2 linked regions of the Drosophila melanogaster genome follow. The protein of the gene in region 1 binds, or shares a complex with, the protein of each later gene. Each region holds a gene or a part of one and is shown in the gene's direction. Other genes may lie near its edges. The genes, in order: Chrac-16 and Chrac-14.

Region 1 (7,720 bases):
GCTCATATCTGCATTGCTGTTCGCCAGGGAGGCGCGCACCAGGGATGTGTGTGTGCCGGTAACCAGTGGCGCTGTCTTCTCCGCTGGCCTGGCGCCCGCATTGTACTTAACCAGACTGCCGGCACCGCTGGCCGCATCCGTTGCACTGCCATCGGTGATGGCCAGCGTCTTGTCGCCCGGCGTTTGGGCTCCTGATGCCTTCCTGGCCTCGCCGATCTTCGCCACCTTGTCCAGCACAAGGCCATAGCCATCCTTCGCCTTGATGGAACGTCGCAACTTCTCTCTGTTTAACGAAAAACACAAATTAACAATGCGTAAGTTGCAAACTACAGGTATACTCACAAACGTTCGTCGATTTCGGGCAGATTTCCCTGGTTGGAGACGAACAGATCGTGGGTGCGCTTCAGGGAGCGGAATATCAGCGTGTGCACGCTGTGCTTCTGCACGTCTTCCATGGCCATTGTCTGTTATTTATTGCTTATTCGCTAAATTTGTTAAAAACGCGGCGCGGCTCTTGCAGCTGACCACCACAAGCCATACATAACAATCGGGCTATCGGTTATCGGACAGTGATGTCTGCTAGCTTGTTTATAGCCAAATGTTAATGCTACATGGGCATCCATTTTTAAAAGAAGTTTTATTAAAATTTTAAATGTATTTAAATGCAAATATCTAATATCTAATTGAAATTGTGTAATTGAATTATCTAATAATTAGAAAAAAATGATTTAACTTTTCACAACCTTAAGTCGAGATGAGAAATTGTGGGTCCTGAATTCAAAGTACCATAAAAGCCACAAAAACTGATAGTTTTTTCAGAATCGTTTTTCGAATACCCATCAAAGTGTTAACTTTATGCGCCCACCCGAGAGATTAAAAAACCAATACGTTGTTCTTTTTTGAAGCACATTTCTGTTTTTTTGTTTTGTTTTGTTTGTGTTTTTTTTCTGCTTATTATTAGTTTGCGGGAACCGGCGATCCAGATGCAAGAGATGAGGACGTGGGAGACACCGATGGTGACGAGGTGCTGGCCGCAGCTCCGCTTTCCGGGACGGGCGATGGCCTCGTGTTGAAGAACTGTTTGATCTGCAGATAAAAGATGGAGTAAAGATTAACCTATGAACTTAAAAACACCGACCACACCAGCCACAATTCTGTCATAAAGCATTATTTTTTTTTACCGCAACTTTGCGCATTTGTATGTTTATATCAGAATGATAAAATGCTTAATACTGTTTCTAATCAAACCCTAAACCACATTGGGAAGTACTTGAAATATTTAGGACTATCTTGACATATGAATAACCTATAAACATTAGCGAATCTAGAATGTTCTGAACATTAATTCAACTAAATCGTTGTTTGAGCCATTGCGTTGGGTTTAAGTTACAATGGTTTGCTAGTCTGATTAAAGATTTAACGAACTTCATTTCGGATTTATGACAGTTTGCTTGAAGGTGCTGCGGTTGGGCAATTGCTTACGATGCGCTTGATGTAGTTGCATGAAGTTTCGTTGTTCGAGCTGGACACCACGTTGTCCACTCGGTACGGCGGCGAGATGGTGACTTCATTTAGGATCTGTATGTTAAGTCCTTGCCAGGAGACTTCATTGTACTACAAAATAGTAAAAGAAATAGCAATGGTTAATGATGATAGGGCATCGTGCAAGAGGTCATTACCCCGTATTGTTTGGCTATCGCTCTATAGAGTTCCTGCGCCTCTGGACTGACATCAGCATTCTTAGACTTCAAGTAGTCCTGTCTTCGCTCAACTGTTTTCCTCAGACGCATTTTGACCTGTATAAGCAATATATATATATATATATATATATTTATGTAAGTGGTCAGAGCTGGCATGCTTACCTGTTCCAGATTAAGCTTTTGCGGATCATCAAAGTTGCCGTTGCACTCCTTGATCACCTGCACGTTGCTGCAGAGCGAGAGGTTCATCGCGTAGATATCACTCAGCTCCTCCGTGGACTTGGATCGGCATTCTATGCGGTTGGAAAGGGAAGAGAAGAGCAGGAACGGGGGGCAAAGATATACGATGTACGGAGAACCAAATTGTCAAGCAGTAAACAATGGGTTTGATAAGAGATAGGTGATATGTGAATGCTATCAGTTAAGATGAGTGTGAATTAGAATTATATACGAATCTAAAGGACAGTGTGACTTTTTGTCCAGACAGCTCAAGAGATCCCTGTGGACAGCCGGAGAAAGTGCTCGCTTTCACCCGGCGGGCAAGTTGTGTGTGTGTGTGGGTATGCATTTCGGGGATTTCGTTGCAAAAGGATACTCAGGATAAGCATCTTTGTGTTGTGATCGAAGGCCAGCACCTCGCCCTCCACCTCCTCGTTGAAACAGGTCGTACAGACGACTGTGGATCCGATGCTGAAGCAGTCGTTCACTGCATTCACTGCGCTCGCAGCGGCAGCGGCCATTTTTAATTGCTGGTTGAGATTGGCCAACTGGAAAAGTGCACCCACAAGCTATGTGGATAGGGGATTCGAATCTAGATCTAAATGTCGATACTGGTTTGTTGGCACGCCGTTGCTTGAACAACGTTTCACAAACAGCGATGGTGATGATGTTGATGATTTTGCGGCAGCAGCAGCTGTTTTGGATGCTTGAATTCCTGGAATTCTCGAAAGGATTTAACTAGCTCTCTCGCTCGCTCTCACTCTCGCCGTCTGTCTGTCTCGTTCTCTCGTGCCGTGCAGCTCACTCGCTTTCACTTGAACCGCTCTAATGGAAATGTCGCTTCCTGGCGATCTGGTCGAGATCCTGCTCCTGCTTCCACTGCCCCTGATCGTCGCGTGAATTGGCCAAAAACTCGCTGGTTACTCGCTCGACTAGCTATCGGCTATCTATTTTGGCGGCAATTGCGGTTCGGTAATTGAAAAGTTGGAAAAGTACGCGAAAAATTTATTGGTCAACACACGAAACAACAGCCAAAAGGGGGCAGCAGAAAACGCAGTGTTGCACATGCCGCGCAGCGATAGGTTCGATAGTCATCGATTACGGAAGTCTGGCAACGTTGCTGCAAACAAATCAAGTGCAATAATAATTTATTGATATTTATTTATATGTGAGTTCGAAAATGAAGACAGATTTTTAAGCTATAAGTGTGAAAATCCAAAGTTGATTGCATACTGAAAAGACAAAAGTAGATAATATTGACTTGTCTAAATGTTGTTGCAATTGAATGTTTCCTTATAAATCGTGCAGATCCTAATCGTTTTACCCCTAATCTCTTGATTAAGTTAAAGGTATTTGCTTAGAGCGGTTTTTCCACTAATAAATTGAAATATTTGGAAAACTTTTATTAAATACTTGTTGTGGCTACCGATAGCATATCGGCGCAACGTTATTTGGTTAAATTCCCGCTCCAGCTAGAGCTGAAAGTATAGGCAAATCCGAATGGGTTTCTCAATTTTTATATATTTAGCGCTATAACTTAATTCTGAGAAAGTAACACATATATTATTGTGCACATCCAATTCCTTGCAAAAATAGAAGTATGCCAGCATTGTTCGTTTTAAGGGAAGCCCTGCGGTTACTTATTTTAAGTCTTCATAAACCATAACCATCGATAGCAAATAAAAAAAAAGAATCGATAGTGTCTCAGAAAGGTACGAATTTCATGCCTCGATTGTAACATCGATAGTTTCACAGCTCCACTTGTGAGCCCAGCTCTAAAACCAAAAAAATTCCCAAGCCATAGTTTGCTTGGGAATTAAGTAAACAAATGGGCGAACCAAGGAGCCAACCACCCGTGGAGCGTCCACCGACCGCGGAAACCTTTCTGCCCCTCAGCCGCGTGCGAACGATCATGAAGAGCTCCATGGACACGGGCTTGATCACCAACGAGGTGCTCTTCCTGATGACCAAGTGCACGGAGCTATTCGTTCGCCATTTGGCGGGCGCGGCATACACGGAGGAATTCGGCCAGCGACCGGGCGAAGCGCTCAAGTACGAGCATCTCTCCCAGGTGGTCAATAAGAACAAGAATCTGGAGTTTCTGCTGCAGATCGTGCCGCAAAAGATCCGTGTACACCAGTTCCAGGAGATGCTGCGGCTAAATCGCTCCGCCGGCAGCGACGACGACGATGACGACGACGATGATGACGATGAAGAAGAGTCCGAATCGGAATCGGAGTCTGATGAATAGACGGTCATGCAGATGTTTATCTACACCGAAATTGAGTGGATGATCTCCATTCACCAAAACATCGACTGATTTTTTACGCCACCTTGCTATCTTTAATTTTAGACTAGACGATAAGTATAAAATTGTTTATAGAACCACTGATTAATAAAGAAGCATAAGAGCACTGCGTCCTCCAAATGACCATAAGATCCGCGGATGATTACCGTGTGTCTGCGGCTGATAAGATTGTTGTTTGAAATCAGAGTAAAGTAGAGCATAGTCAACCTCTTTGTGAGTTTACATGATGATCCTGGATATTCCCAGGAGAGAATGTGATCCTTAAGCTGACCTTGAACTAGAACTGCAAAAAAGGATAACCTAACTAGCATGCAAAACATTGATAGACGCGATTTAAAACGTTAAAGAGCATAACATATAATTGCACTTGGATTCGATTGGTACATTTTACTGCGGCTAAGGATAGATAGAGATTGCAGCTCCTAGACCTTCAGGTTGACGCCGGGATAGCCGGTGGCGTTCAGTCCGGTCACCTTGTAGGTGGTGCCAGCTGGAGCGGGCTGATCGAACTTGGCGGCAGTGGTCACGTACAGGATGTCCAAGTTGGGGCCACCGAAGGCGGCGGAGGTAATCTGTTTGGTTGGGAACTTGATCTCAAGCAGAATCTTGCCAGTGCTGCAATGAAGTACGACATTTAACACTCGATCACGAATGTTAGAGTGAACTACTCACTTGGGATTAACCTTGTAGATGGTGGCGCCATTGAAGGTGGCCACATACAGGTTGCCCTCGGTATCGATGGTCAGGCCATCGGGCAGCAGATGATCCTTGGGACTATTCTTGCGCAGATTGAATATAACCTTGGGATTGCTAGCCACGCCGGTCTCGAAATCATAGTCATACGACTTCACCTCGTAGTCGGTGGTATCGATGTAGTAGAACTTCTTGGCCTTCTCGTCCCATGCCAGTCCATTGGAGATGCCCACATCGCCCTTGATCACCGACACCTGGCCACCGGCCTCCCAGCGGTACAGCTCGCCGTGACGGAACTCGAACTCATCGCCAATGTAGCGCATGGTGCCGCCAAAGAAGCGACCACGGGGATCAACCTTGGCGTCGTTCAAACGATTCTTCTCCATCAGTGGCTGCACCTCGAACAGTGTGCGCACCACCTTGGCGCTGGGCGAGACGCCATCCCAGTTGACGATCACCACGCGTCGACCGCAGCCGACGGCGAATTCCTGCGGACGTCCCTCCACCGGCAGCACGAATCCGGCCAAGGTTTCGCCCTCGATCTTTGTCTTGTAGACCTTGTTCTGCGCATAGTCGTAGCGGAGCAGGCTGCCTGCCTCCAAATCCACGTAGTACAGGCTCTGCCTGGCCACATCCCAATGGGGACCCTCGCCCAGGCCGGCGTAGGAATCGGGCAATGGTTCCACCTTGTACGACATCTGTTGGCGAAATTGGGAACAACCGATTTGCGATTAGTGCATCTAATTGATTTTATATGGATTTATAGTGGATATAAAGTGGCATTTGGAATGCATTATAGCACTTCATGGTTATCATTATCATGGTTGCCATTTTAATTAGATTTTAAATTGAATTAAACAATTAAGAAGTACAGAGAATTCGAATTTAGATGTAGGATTAAATCAGAAAATTACGCACAAAAGCGAAAAACTAATAATTCAAACTGTCAACATTGCGATAAAATAGAATTATCAGGATAATTTATATGCGAGCAATGAGCAATTAAATTAATCATTTAATTTAATTTAAATATTCATTTAAATATGCGATTTTTTGTAGAGTTTCAAACACTTGACTTTCGTAACACTTTTTTTCTTCAATTTCTTTAGTTGGTCCTACTTATAGACGCAGTACCGTTAGGCCGAAAAGGCACACTGCAATCACGGGAATCAGTAACATCATCTTGCGCTCGTTGGCTCCGAATCCAAACTGAGCCCAAAGCCATCGCTCGGAGTTGCTTTTATTACCTCCAGACCAGGGGCTTGACATTACTGGCTGAGAATCGGCGGCATCGTCATCATCGCAAGCGGAACACAATGCGAGATTATTTATTTACTTCCATTTCCATGTTTTAAGTTCAATTTTTCCAAAGGCCGACGGTGGAGCACAATGGAGTTTTTTTTTTTCGATTGTAACATATGCCACTTTCCGGTTTTATATTTTTAATCAATTTAGTAAAAAGTATTTCCAATTTAAATACATACAATTAACATGTTTTTTTCTGTATGCAAAGCTACAATTTTTCGTTAGCTTTATCGAGCAATGGTTCCACTGTGCGTTGCAGCTGTGCTCTTGTGACGTCATGCCCTTCACTTACACTCACATACTCAACAAAAGCAAAAGCAACAACAACAACAACAACAGATGCTGCGATTAACTTTTAAGTTTGATTGCGCCTGGCATTTAGCGATTTTTAATTGACTTTTGTTGTCATTCGGCTGCTGTTATTGAATTGGTCAAGTGGAGACCTTAAAGAGATGCTCACTGGCAGGCACTTCTGTTATCGGACACATGTAGAGGGCACAGTGGGGCAAGAGCGTTCGAAAATGCCAAATTCACAAGTAGCTGCTCAGATGTGTGGAGCATGTGAAAATAATTGAGTACTTAATCCGTGCTGAAGTCTCTCATTTCGAAATTTTTTTAATACAAAAAAAAAAAAAAAATTTAAAAAAAAAGGGAAAAAGTTTTTGAATAGCACATTTAATAGAAGGAAAATATTCGAGCTATATTTTTTACCAAATTTAAATTTAATTTGTGCAAGCTCATAAATTTCTATTTAATTTTAATAATGCTTCCGTTTTTTCGAAAAAGTCTTCAGTATAAACTATGCCTTCTTTTTCGCATCACTTTAACACACTTGAAAAAAAAAAACGGGGAACGCTTGCAGGAGAGCACCTACCTTGGAGATAGCTTAAGCTTGAGCTGAGAGATGGGGAATCGAGAATAGAGAATCGAGAATCCTTGGACACGGCTCCGTTGAGTAGCGCGTTCAAACTGAATGCCACCCGATCCGGCCCAATTCTTATATACCCCAGCTGGCACGGGCGTGACACACAATCTCGCCAAAACCTCCTCCACCTCCACCTCCTCTACTCCGCCTCCACCTTCACCTCCTCCTCCTTCGCCCACTGATAAGCGGAGAATTGGAGGGCTGGATAGCCCGGCCTGATAACAGAGCAACAGAAGTCGCCAACGGGCAAATTAACCCGATGGCAAATTGCAAAAAAAAAAATATTCCAAAACAGATTGCGAAAGTGCAGCATTACAGTTTTGAAAAGCGTAATGAGAAGTTTTCGAGTTTAAGCAGCTCAAAGTTTGAACACTTTTTGAACAGAAAACAGAAACTGAAGCCTAAATGTTAGGAAATGATTTTCAGAATAATTAGGCTCCCTAAATTTATAAAAGTATCTTAGTAATAATGAAAAATGAAATTTTCAAACCAAATTTAACCTGTGTGTTTTTAAGTGCAACATTAAGATTAAACTAACTAATCAACTTCAATTTTCAGCTGGCTAAACTT
Region 2 (7,821 bases), on another chromosome or scaffold:
ATAAGGACAGTATTTAAATGAAACTCAAAAAAATCTTTAGAAATAATTCACAAATATGTATATTATCTGAAGTTTACTTCATTCATCATCCACGAACAGAAAGCTAATACAGGATTTTACACAGTTTTCAAGGAAGTTTTAGTTTTTTAGCATAACAAGTATATAATCAGCACTGCAAATATTTTATGATTTGTTGTAGCTGTTTTCCAGTTTTTTCGACGCTAGAAATAGCTTTTTTTGTGGGAGAGCCTGGCAATACTGGCCGTAATATTGGAATCTAAAAATCAGGTGGAGATTATGTACGTACCTGTGACGGCGACAATTGTTGAGAGCACGAAAATTACTTTGAAAATCCGAGTAAATGGGATTTGCATCATTGGAAAACGCTTGGGGTGGCGCTCCGAAAAATATTGATTGGGTGGACCGATTGTCCACCACTAGGAAAACTGAGTCAATGAAGGGGTCTAAACGATCGAGGGATCGAGCGGCGTGCTGGCCGCAAATGCAATTTGGCGTCGCAACAGAAGCTGAAACATACTACACACTTGCATCTCCTTGTGGATTTTACTGCAAAATAAAAATAGAACATTTTAGCGCCTCCACATTTTCTGTCGCACGAACGCACACACACGAAACAAAAAAAAAAGGAAAAGAAATAGCATTCAAAATTGGTGATCCAAAAGCTTTTCATAGATTATCTTAGACGTACTGGAGCTGCTATATGGCCTGTAGAAGGCTTCGACATTATAATTATTATAATGACTCGTGAATCATTTTATATATCAGGCAAGTAATTAATTAGTTAATCTAAAGAGCAGCAAGCGCGGGAAGCGGGCTCTTCTCTGCTCCACTTTGATTTTAGGTCTTGTTGCGCGCACGTCGGAAAAGAGACTGAGGAAAACAGAGCCAGAGAAACAGATGGACCTCATCCCTACATTGGCGGCATTGGCATGCGCCATGAATGAAATCGATCGGTGAGCGGGGAGAGCGAAGAGAGCGCCCCCAAAAGAGATGCGATTGCGACCGATAATAGTCGAAGAATCATATGGATATGCTAAGAGCTGCAAAAAAAAACCGCCCTTTAACAGTTATTCAATTTGTTAACGGCACTTTTCACTGCATACTTCTAGGGCACTATAAAGATATATTACTCTGTGAAGATAGCTGATAAGACTTAAAAATGTTTACATGTTTCGTACAAATATGCAATTGTAGCGATTATTATTTATATTGATAAAACAATTTAAAAGTCTTCAGCCAGATATTCAAAATTTAAAAATTAATGACCACTCATCTCATGATTTCGTCCAAAATATGATAATCGTTGATAATTAAAAACGCAGTATTCATTTCTTCGGACATTAATTTAGTTAATTTATTGCTTAGATTTATGCTTACCAACGAGTACAAGGCTCTAATTAGATATCAACTAATATCCCAGTAGAATTTGAACTATGACGCGGACTTGATAAAAAATAAATTCAAAACAATGGCAACTGCACATTAGATTTGTGGTTCTATCGGAGCAACTCCCAAGTGACTGTTTCCGAGGAAATCCAATTCGGAACACAGACTGATGACACGGCCTATGTCCTGAGGTTGGAGACACAACGGAGCATTGGCCGCCGCCGGTGGCAACTGTTCCAAAGTCTCCTGTTGCAGTTTCGCCGCCAAGGAGCGGCGCACCAATTTCTCAATAAAAGTGCGCAGCACTTGTCCGAGCATCGAGAGAGCCAGTGGCTGGGAGACGCCAGGCGGAGATTCCTCCGGTTCCAGTGTGATATTAATGTCCTTGCACATTTCCTGGACCAGCTGCAAGGTCGAATCCAAGTGCTTCGGCGGAGGTAGATAAAGTAGTTGGCGATGATTCACCATTTGGAAAGATACATCTGCTGAGTTTGTTAACCTGGACGCAAGCGGATGAGGTTTGTCCACACCCAACACATCGATGAACTCCTTATCCCGCATCTGTTGATCATGACCAAGCAGACGATCGGATTGCTTGGTTATCCAAGCTTCCAGCCGATTGCCTGAGCTGAGACTGCTATAGGCCGACAGTTGCGGTTGGGGCTCGCCCTTTAGTTGCGCCTGAACACGCCGAGCCAGTTGCTCCTCATCGCTCAGTTTTTGTTTTCTCTTTTCATGCACGACAGGTAAAACATCTTTGAGAGCTGGCGTATAACCATGAACCCTGGCGAACGCCACTATCTCCCGTAAACTCCAGTAGTGTTCCTTTCCACTAATGTCCAACTTATGCAGCTCGTGGTGCTGCATCAGACAGCGACGGAGCATACGTGCGCGCAGGTACTCAAAGCAACGTTGTTTTAGAGCAGTGTGATTGTGGAACTCTTCGAGGGTTATACAAGTGAATGGATACTCCTTTTGCTGATCAATCGACGCAAGCGGGAGGCGGCTCAGCAGGAACTCCACAGCACTGCGCATATTTCGGAATTGTGCACTTCTAAAGATGTGCTCCAGCCTTCGGGGTCGCGATTGTATGGTAGTGTCCACAATTGGAGGTAACAGCATTGGCTTTTCCTCCATCTCGCCGCTCATGTTGGCGTACCCATGATCGTGCTGCATGCACTGCAGCATATGCCATCGCGTTTCTGACGGTGGCTTAAGAAGACTCAATTGTGGTTTCAGCAGGGATTGTTGCTTTGCAGCCTGCTTAAGCTTGCGCTGCAAGGGATCGATAATGTACAGCTTTCCTGCTCTCTGAAACACAACATTCTTCTTGCCCTGGTGATGGCCATTGGGCACAGGCTTTATTGGTGGCCGATCCGACGAGGATTCCTTCCACGCTCTCTGCGGAGATGCCGGTGGATAGTGCTTTACTGGCGAAAACTCCTGCCGCTGCCTTTCTGGCAAGGATTCCTGCCTAGGACTTCGGCCGTTTACTGGCAGATAGACCACAGAAGGCTTCGAAGCGGTGACCTGAGCCGCATTTAACCGAAGTTGAGTCCTAGGAGGCGATGACGGAGTGGGTGGCTGCTTTCTTGGACTGTAGTTTAACTTCAGGGGCTCTGAAACCAACACAGTTGGTTCAATTTTCTCAATGTCGTCGCTGAGTTCAATTTTGTTGATACCAGCAAACAGATTGTCATCAAGTTCCTCCTTATTTTGAGTGATTGAAATGGTGCGCGGTTTGCATGACTCTCCAGGAAAGGCGAAAACCGAAGGCTCTAAAACATTCGGAGCAGCCAGAGGTGGAGCAGGAACTGCAGTCTCCTGTTCATGGGGAGGATGAGGTTTGCCGCTTTTCTGTTTCGTTATCGCCTGTTTTGCTCTCAGCCATATTTCCACAGTGGTCTCTGCGCCCATCGTGTGCAGTCCACACATTGTTTTATCCAGCACCACCGTGTGCATTAGTTGCACGGGTTTCTGCTGCAAGTGCTCTTGGAAAAATAGCTGGATGCGCATCGGAAACTCGCCCCAACCATGTCGGTTAAGCTGAAACGGAGACCTGTGCACGTCCACGATGTCGTTTGGGCGGTATGACGGATGGAGGTGGAAGCGCACCTAGAATTGCGAAGAAGAGATTGAATCACTCCGTACGTGCTTATGGGAATTACTTACCTTTTTAATGTATTTTTCAAGTGGTTCAGGTAGATCTTTGCCTTGCACATAGACCAACCACTTATAGGTCAAAGCATTCCCACCTGTGCCATTCTCTCGAGAGTCTTCGCCAATGTATTTGGAAGTATTACCCACCACGAAGTTGAATTTGTTCTTGTTATTCAGCCGCGAGGCATTCAGCTCCACTTGCCTTTCGTGGGCCTGTCGGCTGGTGCACGGCTGCTCGTCCTCCAACTTAACGGAAATGGGAGGTTCCTGCTCTGGCTGATCTTTTTTGTCCTTGGAGTGATCGGTTACGATGCCCTGCTCCTTGATCTTCTGTTGCCGCCTTCGTTCCGCCCGACGATGAGCCGGATTCCTCAGTCGGATGGTTTCTTTGGCCAAGGTGGCCGCCGTGCGCTCTGGCAAATGATTTTGGATGACAACAGGGCGCTTGCCAACGATTTTTTTAATGGCTGGATGCAGTGGCAGCTGCGGAGCGGCTATGTCGTCCCCAAAAAGGCTGTCGCCGCGCACTTTCGCAATATCCGCGCCGGTGAGGGGGACCTGCTGCTTTCGGTAATATTCGCTGACCACCTGATAGCGTAGTCTGTCCAACAGTTGTCGTCCTTGCAGCAGTCGTCGGTCGATCTCGGCCAGCTGCTCGACCTTCTGAGAGATTTCGCGCTGGAACTCCAGACGAAGCAGCTCCCGGATGCGCTGAAATTTGTCGGACAACGGCAGCATGCCATCCGACTGTTCCGTCTTGGTCCACTTTCTTTGACCGGGCGACTCGGCTTCTGCGCAGGTTTCTTCCTCATCCTGGCTAGAAACTTCCGTTTGCTGATAATCTGGATCGTGGTACTCGCTGTGCCTGCGTTTTTTTGGCGGCGTCGCTTGTTGCTGGTCCATGTGCGTGGTAGCTGGCACACGCACAGGACTTGTATCACGTTAGTTCGGAGGGGAACAGCTTCAAGTTTGGCCCGAATCGCTCCGTGCACATTTAGGCCGGGGTAATTGGCTGTTATTTATAAAAATGTGTAAACAATTGATGCGAACGAGGCGGCGCAAACAGAATTGAGTGGGGGAGTTGCCACATCGCTGGTGTAGATGCGTGCACGCTGGCCTTGTCCAACACTGTTCAGCCAGCTGTTTACTCTTTACGCGGGAAGCAAAGACGCCGAAATCTAGACGGAAAATCAAAAGTGCCCACCAAGTAAAAGCAGATAAGCAGCAGCAAAATGGTCGAGCGCATCGAGGATCTTAACCTGCCGAATGCCGTGATTGGCCGGCTCATCAAGGAAGCACTGCCGGAGTCAGCTAGTGTCAGCAAGGAAGCGCGAGCAGCGATCGCCCGAGCGGCATCTGTGTTTGCCATCTTCGTGACATCCTCGTCGACGGCGTTGGCCCACAAGCAGAACCACAAGACCATCACGGCCAAGGATATTCTACAGACCCTCACCGAGCTAGACTTCGAAAGCTTCGTGCCCTCTCTGACGCAGGATCTCGAGGTCTATCGTAAAGTGGTCAAGGAGAAAAAGGAGAGCAAGGCCAGCAAGAAGGATTCCAACACTGCCGAAAATGCCAACGCCAGTGCCACCGCAACAGCAGAGGAAGCCCCCGAGTGATTACGAATAGGAGAAACTATACGGATCAATTATCCTCTTCAGTCATTAAGAACAAAGCTAGTATTGAGCATTAACAAAAAACATTAAACATAGGCATTATCTAAGAACTTCACTTGTGTTTTGTCACTTTCCTCAAAGACTAAATTATGTTGTTAGTCAACGTTTACATGGGATTAATTTGGGATTGTAAGTGACGGTTGGAATTACACCCTTAAATAATGCCGCATTTCAATCCAGTCCGATCTAGTTTTTTACGCCTTCATTCAAAGTATATAAAGGTGTCAGAATAATATTTAAGTATTTCAGTAATTATTTGTTTATATATGTGATCAGAAAATCACTGTTTTAAAAATCATCCAGATAGATAACCGCGTGTTCTTTCCAGCACTGGAAACAGCTGTTTAAAAAAGCGCGTCTTATCGCAACAAAAAGTTTAGTTAGTTATTATTTTGCATGTTTTATACAATTAATATTTTAGTAGAAAATGGGAGTTACGGGCTTGTGGAAGCTCATTGAGCCGTGCGGCAAGCCAGTCCCCGTAGAGACTTTGGAGGGCAAAATCCTAGCAGTGGGTAAGCATCGTTTTTCGCCACCTAATGAAATACTTGCTGATTGGAGTACTTTTCGTCCTGCAGATATATCGATTTGGTTGCATCAGGTTGTGAAGGGCTTTCAGGACAACAAGGGATCGGCCCTGAGTAATGCCCATTTACTGGGTCTATTCCATCGTCTCTGTAAATTGCTATACTATCGTGTGCGACCGGTTTTCATTTTCGATGGATGCGTGCCGCAGCTTAAAAGGGACACTATTGTGAGTTATAATAGGGGAATATATCAAATTCACTCTCTAAATTAAATCCTCTTTATGTCACCCCTTCAGGCACGTCGCCAGCAGCAGAGGAATAAGCTCAGCAACGAAGCTGATCGCATTCAGGCTTTGCTCCTTCAATCCCTGGCCAAAGAAAAAGTAGTGCAGCAAGCGCTGGGCAAGAATGCAGAGCTACTGTTGAAATCCCCGGTTAAGCGACCGCCTCCAGCTAAGAAGAACGACGAGGATGACTTGTTTAAGCTTCCCGAACTGCCGGCTGCATCGGTGCAAGATAATCAAGATGAAAGCGAGCAGGACACCAGTGCCAGTGCCTCAGACAGCTCCTTTGACGAGTCAACCGCTCGACATTCTTACAACTCTAGCTTACAGGCCATCGATGTAAAGAGTCAGCATTTTCGGAATCTGCCAGCCGATGTGCGACACGAGATCCTTACAGACATCAAGGAGACGCGCAAGCAATCGTCGTGGGGCCGTCTGCACGAGTTGCCCGCCCGCAGCGATGACTTCTGCTCCTTCCAGATGAAGAGACTCCTCAAGCGCCGAGCCGTTCAGGAAAGCTTAGAGCAGGCGGAACAGGAGATGGGCGGACATACGCTTACCTATGCAGAGTTGTGTGACTTTTTCAATGAGGAGGGCATTCTCACCCCAACGGCCATTGAACAGTGCACCCGACAAATTAGCTCGGATGAACATACACGATTCCTGCTGGTCAGGGATCTTAAAAAGAAAGCAATGGAGAGCACCAAACAAGAGGTTAAAATGGAGATGATTGAGGAGGTACCCGCTGAGGAGGAGGATGAGAAGCCAAGCACTTCCACCAAGAAAGAGGCTGTGAAAAGTGTGGACCTAGGCACAGAGTTCGATGAAGATTTGGCCAAAGCACTGTCTATGTCAATGGAGGAGACCAAGGTGTACGATGAAAAGGACTACGAGTACGACTCGGACCAAGAGTTGCGCCTCAATCGAGCTCAAACCAAGCAATTGCGCCATGCGGCCAAGGGACCTGCACGGGCCTATATGATTGAATACGGCGGAATGAACGACGAGGAAGTTGGCAACATCATGGAGGCCACTCAGTTCAATGACACTCAAAGCCTTGAAAAGTTGCTAGAGATCACGACAGTCCCGACCGACATGGCTGACAACTCGATTGAGGAGGCCAAACTTATTTCACAAGCTATTGAAGAGAGCAAACAACTATCCCAAGCAATTGAGGAAAGCAAGAAGAATCTTAACGAGGACAAGGTGGAGATTGTAGATACTGATACCGACTCAGACTTGGAGGAAGTAATGGAAGTTCAGGAGCTGGATAAAGGCAAGAAGAATCTTGAGATTTGTGTTGATATTACTGGCCAAGCGGATTCGAATGATCTGTTTGCGGATATTTTTGAGGATGGAGAGGCAAATAAAATAGAGAAAACTATAAGCGTCGAGGAAGACGATGACTTTATAGAAGTGAAAGACAGTGAGGAATTAAAATTGGATACTGAAGATGAAAATAAACCAATAACGAATAAGAGTATTAAAGAAAGTAATGAAGTCAAGCCGTTCATTGATGAAATTATCGAAGTGAAAGATAGCCAAGAAGCGGTTCCTGCAGAACCTAATCTCAAACCCGATCTGGAATCAATTTTAAATGATCTGAAAAAACAAACGGCTGCGGTTAAAGATATTCAGCTAAACGTAAATGAAGAAGAAAAACCAAAACCAAAGGTGGAAATCAGTTCTATATTGGATGAGCTAAAAGTAAAGATGGCCGACGTTAAAAACATCACTCTAGATAACGTGAAATTAAGCAATAGTGTC

What was found.
Region 2: the proteins of Chrac-16 (region 1) and Chrac-14 are in contact, whole or in part, in a crystal structure (PDB 2BYM), measured with the Drosophila melanogaster proteins. Residues at the interface, in NP_001285148.1 of Drosophila melanogaster: Thr35 (codon at 3,850), Gly36 (codon at 3,853), Leu37 (codon at 3,856), Thr39 (codon at 3,862), Asn40 (codon at 3,865), Glu41 (codon at 3,868), Val42 (codon at 3,871), Phe44 (codon at 3,877), Leu45 (codon at 3,880), Met46 (codon at 3,883), Lys48 (codon at 3,889), Cys49 (codon at 3,892), Thr50 (codon at 3,895), Glu51 (codon at 3,898), Leu52 (codon at 3,901), Phe53 (codon at 3,904), Val54 (codon at 3,907), Arg55 (codon at 3,910), His56 (codon at 3,913), Leu57 (codon at 3,916), Ala58 (codon at 3,919), Gly59 (codon at 3,922), Tyr62 (codon at 3,931), Arg69 (codon at 3,952), Pro70 (codon at 3,955), Gly71 (codon at 3,958), Glu72 (codon at 3,961), Ala73 (codon at 3,964), Leu74 (codon at 3,967), Lys75 (codon at 3,970); in NP_476646.2 of Drosophila melanogaster: Ile15 (codon at 4,842), Leu18 (codon at 4,851), Ile19 (codon at 4,854), Glu21 (codon at 4,860), Ala22 (codon at 4,863), Leu23 (codon at 4,866), Pro24 (codon at 4,869), Glu25 (codon at 4,872), Ser26 (codon at 4,875), Ala27 (codon at 4,878), Ser28 (codon at 4,881), Val29 (codon at 4,884), Ser30 (codon at 4,887), Glu32 (codon at 4,893), Ala33 (codon at 4,896), Ala36 (codon at 4,905), Ile37 (codon at 4,908), Arg39 (codon at 4,914), Ala40 (codon at 4,917), Ala41 (codon at 4,920), Val43 (codon at 4,926), Phe44 (codon at 4,929), Ala45 (codon at 4,932), Phe47 (codon at 4,938), Val48 (codon at 4,941), Thr49 (codon at 4,944), Lys62 (codon at 4,983), Thr63 (codon at 4,986), Ile64 (codon at 4,989), Thr65 (codon at 4,992).

Annotation. Positions count from the first base shown.
Region 1 is NC_004354.4:12,013,901-12,021,620, reverse strand, and holds Chrac-16 (chromatin accessibility complex 16kD protein), read left to right. Parts: upstream 1-3,659; 5' UTR 3,660-3,747; coding exon 3,748-4,170; 3' UTR 4,171-4,396; downstream 4,397-7,720. Other genes in the region: Tango4 (transport and golgi organization 4), read right to left, coding at 1-283, 343-461; Lsm12a (LSM12 homolog a), read right to left, coding at 958-1,086, 1,483-1,614, 1,680-1,796, 1,863-1,993, 2,296-2,440; regucalcin, read right to left, coding at 4,650-4,842, 4,900-5,618, 6,055-6,102. UniProt on the Drosophila melanogaster protein: Histone-like protein which promotes nucleosome sliding of ATP-dependent nucleosome remodeling complexes. Part of the chromatin-accessibility complex (CHRAC) which uses energy/ATP to increase the general accessibility of DNA in chromatin.
Region 2 is NT_033779.5:8,432,706-8,440,526, forward strand, and holds Chrac-14 (chromatin accessibility complex 14kD protein), read left to right. Parts: upstream 1-4,699; 5' UTR 4,700-4,799; coding exon 4,800-5,186; 3' UTR 5,187-5,291; downstream 5,292-7,821. Other genes in the region: grk (gurken), read right to left, coding at 308-377; D12, read right to left, coding at 1,504-3,522, 3,580-4,470; mus201 (mutagen-sensitive 201), read left to right, coding at 5,671-5,758, 5,822-5,997, 6,067-7,821. UniProt on the Drosophila melanogaster protein: Accessory component of the DNA polymerase epsilon complex. Participates in DNA repair and in chromosomal DNA replication. Histone-like protein which promotes nucleosome sliding of ATP-dependent nucleosome remodeling complexes.